2 linked regions of the Saccharomyces cerevisiae S288C genome follow. The gene in region 1 interacts genetically with each later gene. Each region holds a gene or a part of one and is shown on either strand. Other genes may lie near its edges. The genes, in order: MAK32 and YLR162W.

Region 1 (3,925 bases):
AATCCCAACAGTATCCCCATTTTCGTCAATATCTCCATAACGACAAGGTCTTCTAGATACCATATAATGACAATAACCAAGCCCACCATTTAGGTGGATTTTTTGTGTGGTTTTGAAATTAAAACATTTTTAGAGGAAAATTGTGATCACAGAATTTCACATTCCCAGTTACTTTAATAATATTCATAGTTAGAGATGAAGAGGTACTATTAATATGAAGGTTAAGTATGAATCTTCTCATGCTTCTATAAGCGAGGGATATAAAACATCGCCAACTGTTTCATCTTATTTATTATCAATATTATGTGTGTTTGGAGCTTACTATACAGTTAATGTGATAATTAATATAACTCTTGTATAACTACCATATCAATGTTCAATTAATAGATCTTAAATCGGTTTCATTACTACCTGAACTGCATGTATGAAATTTCCTTCCACATTAGGCACATTCACATGTAATACGAGATGTACATCTATATGTGATATTAGCATTTACACAGCAATCCTATATCACTATTAATGGCCACTTGTTCCAAAAAGTATATATTATGAAGCGTATTATTATTTTATACTCAGATAGCTGGTGCGATACGTTCGCAGATTTTGAGCGCAATGCAATGAGTATGACGGAAAGGTTCACTCATAATTTCAATAACTCAAGTTGTTTGAATTTAAAATACATTCCCCGTTAGATAAGCTATAAACATTGTTACTTGCGCTTGCGGCACATGTAATGTAGTTTCTTTCTTTTTCCAAGAAAAAAGAAAGCCCTGTAGGGGGCTCGAACCCCTAACCTTATGATTAAGAGTCATACGCGCTACCGATTGCGCCAACAAGGCTCTTTAATTATGAAAAATTACGTTTAATAAGTGACTTAAAAATATAAATACTGTTACTAAAATGTGAACTAAAACCTCAATATTATTTTCTGATCACTTGATGAATAGCTGGTAATTGTTGGATTCCATTGTTGGTAAAGGCTATAATTTTACGTATATAGAATTGTTGGAATAAAAATCCACTATCGTCTATCAACTATAGTTATATTATCAATATATTATCATATACGGTGTTAAGATGATGACATAAGTTATGAGAAGCTGTCATCGAAGTTAGAGGAAGCTGAAGTGCAAGGATTGATAATGTAATAGGATAATGAAACATATAAAACGGAATGAGGAATAATCGTAATATTAGTATGTAGAAATATAGATTCCATTTTGAGGATTCCTATATCCTCGAGGAGAACTTCTAGTATATTCTGTATACATAATATTACTGCCTTTATCAATAATGGAATCCCAACAACTATCTGAAAATTCACGTGATTCTCATGTGAGTACATCAGAAAACAACCACCTAACAACCGTGTTTGAATGTTGATCTGAAAACAAAAATTAATCTCTCGTACTTATTATGGATATTGTATTTTCTCAAAATTCCAAATGATTTTCTTGTTAGATGGTATTCACGGTCATCGGAATCTCAGTTCAATATCACCAATTTGCTTATAAGGTTTATGCAAGATAACATGTTTGGTCTTGTTCCCAAGTATAACTTAAGAAAAAAAAATTACAATCCAAGAAAGGTAATACAGAATTCATAGCAATAATGGGGTCCATTTTCAATAGATAATGTACCTGGAAGAAAAGGGCTGACTAGGAAACAAAAAGAAAAACAAAACTATGATACTCCATCAAACATAGGGAAATTTACTCGAATATGAAAAGTACAAATCTGTCAAAAGCACATCGTATATTGTCTTGGTTCCGCTTTTATTCAGAAGAATTACTGAAATGAAGAGGAATGACGTAATAAACAAACAACGATTCTGATATCAGAAAGACATCTTGAATATTCCTATGTAGTAATTAACTATCCCAGTACTTACAAACATAACTTGACGATGCACGCTACGATTTTTGTGTGTTTAAACTTTTGTTGGTTGGGACTCAAGAAGATCTTCTCTGAGATAATTGTAATTAAATGTACTTTAGGAGTGTTCATGTATAATTTGCCTCTGCAAAAACTTAATAATGTATTTTAAAACTTGCATGTTGCTCTGTGAATCTGAATGTATGATAATGCTACGATTACTCTAGGGAACTTCCTTTTTACATTTAAAATTTCCGAGATCCTCAGCTGACAAATAAATGTCATATCAAGACAATAAACGGTAGTGCTAAAGTAATTGCATATTAAACAGGCGCGACTAAAGCTTTCATCCCTTCTATTATTGCATAACCTGGCTATACATGAAAACACTTCTCACATTTGATTTAAGAAGTTTACTGTTCTAAGAAAATAAAGAACGTGATAATGATGAATGAAGAGGATTCTACAGAAACGAAAAGCCTAGTCATAACTAATGGCATGTTTATCATAGACGACATCGAGCGTAGTAAATATAATATTCACTATAAGAATGTCCCAGGAGGCGGAGGGACTTTTGCCATTTTGGGTGCATGCATAATATCTTCCGGCAATGTCACATCCAAAGGTTTGAAGTGGATAGTGGACAGAGGCTCTGACTTTCCAAAGGAAGTTATAAGGGAAATAGACTCATGGGGTACTGATGTGAGGTTTCGAGATGACTTTAGCAGATTAACTACCAAAGGGTTGAATTATTACGAGGGAAGTGATGATTTGAGAAAGTTCAAGTTTTTGACGCCGAAGAAGCAGATTAACGTCGATGACTGGATTTCCACATTTGGGCAGAAGATAATTGATGAAATGCATGCGTTTCATTTGCTATGTTCTGGGTCTAGATGCTTAGACATAATAAACGATCTGCTACGGGTGAAAAGTTCAAAGGGCACAAAACCAATCGTGATTTGGGAGCCATTCCCAGATCTTTGCGACTTTGATCATCAAAATGACATTAAAAGTGTAATGCAGAGGAACGATGTTACGGTAATATTATCTCCAAATGCCGAAGAATCAAGTCGCTTATTTGGTTTAAGTAGCAAGGAACCGACTAGTTTGGAAGAATGTCTAGCATTAGCGCATCGTTTCGATGATTTCATGGATGAAAACAATATGTGTATTCTACGATGCGGTGCCCTCGGAAGCATATCGGTAAGTGAGAAGTTTAAGAACGGACGAACCTATGACCATTTCCCCGCCTACCATTTCAAAACTCAGTCTAAAGTACTAGATCCTACTGGCGGGGGAAACTCGTTCCTTGGCGGCTTTGCAGTTTCTTATGCCCTAACGAAAAGCTTAGATATTGCTAGTATATGTGGGAACATCGCTGCAGGCGCAATAATTGAACAATTCGGAATACCGAGGTACGATCCAATTGCTAAAACCTGGAACGGAATCACATTCTTGGATAGACTGAAATTTTACCTTTCACAGTCCGGTCTTCAATATAATATAAACGATCTTTACAAAAGTCTAACACGATGATCATATCAGCTTGTTCATTGCTCTTATTTTTCTGCAAAAATATACATATATATATATAAGTAAGTGTTATATACTACTTGAGATTAGGCGTTGTAACAAGATTCAAAAAATTCGAACTCGAACTGTGAAACCTTCACAAATATGCTTTCCACTTCTTCGACGGGAAACTTGTCAACTTCAGCCTTTAGAAATTCACACCAAGTTTGAAAATGCTCACCATCATGTAAATCAATCCATTTTTGATATTTCCAATGCAACCCTGGGGCTCTAGGAGTATCACGAGCCCATCTCCAATAGAGTTCCTCAGCAACCCATAAGCTGGTTACTAAGGATGGCCATGTAATTGAGGCGTCCTTTCTCAGCTCATCTAAGAAATTAATATACGCATCAACGCCGGGGATCGCTTTATTGTCAAAATTATCTCTTTCTTCCTTGGTGAGGGATGGTGCCAATAATTCTAAGCAGTCATGAAAGTATGAGTTTTCATCATTAGAAAAAAATCCAATCTTTT
Region 2 (2,850 bases), on another chromosome or scaffold:
CCTTCGGAGGACTAAGCGAGATCTCCAAGTAAAGATCTCGCTTATCAAGAAAGCAGCCAAGTGTGGAACGTCCTTTTTTTTGGTTTCAAAAAGATATTCAACAGTTTACACTGCAGCTTTAATTGCCTCAAAAGGATATCATGAGGTGATCTAGGGTCAGAAGGGAAAGATTACAGCATCTTGAGTTGAATCACATCTGCAAAAGGTGGTATTATTGACGTTGCTCTTCCTTAATGGAAACTCATGGGGTTTGGAAAGGAGGTGCGGTAATCTATTTTTTTCGAACACAAAACCTAACCTTGAAAAGAAACTGTCCAATTTCATTGAACTTACCTCAGAACGGGCCGGAGTCTTTGCTTTCAGTCTAACATGGTCTAATTTCTTCGAAAAGCTTCATTTAATTGTTAGACTGTGGTTTTACAAGGAAAAAACCAGTGCTATACTGAAGCGATACCCAGAACTAATTACCTTGTGTGACGATTCGGCTCAGCGAAACGGACATGGTAAAATTGGGAATTTGAAAGCAGGCAGCAGCCTTGTACAGCGACATGACGATAGGTTTAGAATCCCCATCACGTACGAGTTGAAGAATTCTACGAAGGCTCTATGCGTTATTCCTCTATCGGTATAAAGTGTAGCGTTGTAGGGGGGATATTGGTGGTTTAGTTGAATTTGCGCAACGAAATTATAGAACTCATAAAAGTTCAATTCAATACTTGAAACCCTTAACGTTGGTTCGACCATCAATTGTTTGGACATAATAGTTTTATTCTGCGGCCGATTTCAAAATTTAGTAAATCAAATGTTGAAGCATCACCAGTAGGATGACCACTCCCATGACAAAACTCCGTCCCAAAGATAGCTTGATCATCCTAAGCGGGTCGCATTTTACTATCCCCAGTTCCGAAGAATAACAAGGCTCAATGCATATGCTGTTTATCGTGCTCACAAGGCGGTATGACGTTTTTAGCAATGTAATTATATTAAAAAGATCTTCAGTCACTATGAGTGGTTGATTGCCCCATAGAGAGCTATAAGCCGACGTGAAAGCTGCTGGTTCCAGCTTGGCTCATGTCGTCACCAGTCACTAGTCACTTGGTCGCATTCATTGCTACTCATCTGCGAGTGAGCATATTTGAGATCTGACTTGCCAAGGGATTAGAATCACGTAAGACTCTTGATCCTTAGAAGATATTTCTGACAAAGAACCACCTAAGCCATGCAAGTTTTTTTTTTCATTTGGTGGCGAAACAAAGGTGATGAAAGTTTCTTCTTGTACAAACGCCAAGCCCGATAGGTGAGACAATTCTTGAAGTAATGGACCTCTGAGTAAGCATATCAGTCGAATGAAGTTCCAATATGCGTTGGCCAAGGAACAGCTAGGCAGCAACTCGCGCAGTGGCGTCAAAAAACTAATAAGTAAACACCACTGGCTTCCGGAATACTATTTCTCTGATCTCTCATTTTCTGTTGTACAGCAGTGGGACAGTAGAGCCATTGAAAAAACTACAATCATATCTTGTATGCGGCCCGCAAACCAAGAGATTTATCCTTTGAGACATTGTGAGACCCTCCGTTCGCAACCGTGCTCTCTGTTTTCATCACTATATGCACGCTCTTTCCAAAGCTCCTGCACTTTGCACGTGGCGGAGCCATCGCCCGGCTTCCATATGTACGGCTGCCACACCTAACTATTTCGGTTGCGGCCATATCTACCAGAAAGCACCGTTTCCCGTCCGATCAACTGTAGTTAAGCTGGTAAGAGCCTGACCGAGTAGTGTAGTGGGTGACCATACGCGAAACTCAGGTGCTGCAATCTTTTTTTTTTTTCCGCGCGCAAGCACGTTACCCGGACCCCGTCTTAGCACACGCACACGCACACGCAGCGCTCACAGACCAGCGAAACAGACCTGAGAGCCACGATGCAGCACACGCTTACCCGGACCGCCTCTCTGCCAGAACGCTCGAGCAGCGCCCACAGCGCCGCTACTGCGTTACCCGCACTTCGCCGCCCGCCAGACAGCTGCGAGACTCTCGTCCCGCTACTGTGTATCTTTTGGTTCGTCTTCGTTAGTATGAGCCCGCTCCCGCCGGCTCGTGCCAACAAATCAGACAACAAAGGCTTAATCTCAGCAGATCGTAACAACAAGGCTACTCTACTGCTTACAATACCCCGTTGTACATCCAAGTCGTATACAAATGATTTATCCCCACTCAAAATGACATTGCTATCCGCCGGCAAGCACCCAAGGCCTTTCCGCCAAGAGCACCGTTGCTAGCCTGCTATGGTTCAGCGACGCCACAAGGACGCCTTATTCGTATCCATCTATATTGTGTGGAGCAAAGAAATCACCGCGTTCTAGCATGGATTCTGACTTAGAGGCGTTCAGCCATAATCCAGCGGATGGTAGCTTCGCGGCAATGCCTGATCAGACAGCCGCAAAAACCAATTATCCGAATGAACTGTTCCTCTCGTACTAAGTTCAATTACTATTGCGGTAACATTCATCAGTAGGGTAAAACTAACCTGTCTCACGACGGTCTAAACCCAGCTCACGTTCCCTATTAGTGGGTGAACAATCCAACGCTTACCGAATTCTGCTTCGGTATGATAGGAAGAGCCGACATCGAAGAATCAAAAAGCAATGTCGCTATGAACGCTTGACTGCCACAAGCCAGTTATCCCTGTGGTAACTTTTCTGGCACCTCTAGCCTCAAATTCCGAGGGACTAAAGGATCGATAGGCCACACTTTCATGGTTTGTATTCACACTGAAAATCAAAATCAAGGGGACTTTTACCCTTTTGTTCTACTGGAGATTTCTGTTCTCCATGAGTCCCCCTTAGGACA

Evidence for each region.
Region 2: mutations in MAK32 (region 1) and YLR162W together harm fitness more than expected from each alone (negative genetic interaction), as found in Saccharomyces cerevisiae (one large-scale study listed by BioGRID).

The regions. Positions count from the first base shown.
Region 1 is NC_001135.5:150,515-154,439, forward strand, and holds MAK32 (Mak32p), read left to right. Parts: upstream 1-2,322; coding exon 2,323-3,414; downstream 3,415-3,925. Other genes in the region: PET18 (Pet18p), read right to left, coding at 3,498-3,925. UniProt on the Saccharomyces cerevisiae protein: Necessary for the structural stability of L-A double-stranded RNA-containing particles. Necessary for growth at 37 degrees Celsius as well as for maintenance of the killer plasmid.
Region 2 is NC_001144.5:487,651-490,500, forward strand, and holds YLR162W (uncharacterized protein), read left to right. Parts: upstream 1-1,922; coding exon 1,923-2,279; downstream 2,280-2,850. Other genes in the region: YLR161W (uncharacterized protein), read left to right, coding at 1,347-1,691; RRT15 (Rrt15p), read left to right, coding at 2,756-2,850. UniProt on the Saccharomyces cerevisiae protein: Overexpression confers resistance to the antimicrobial peptide MiAMP1.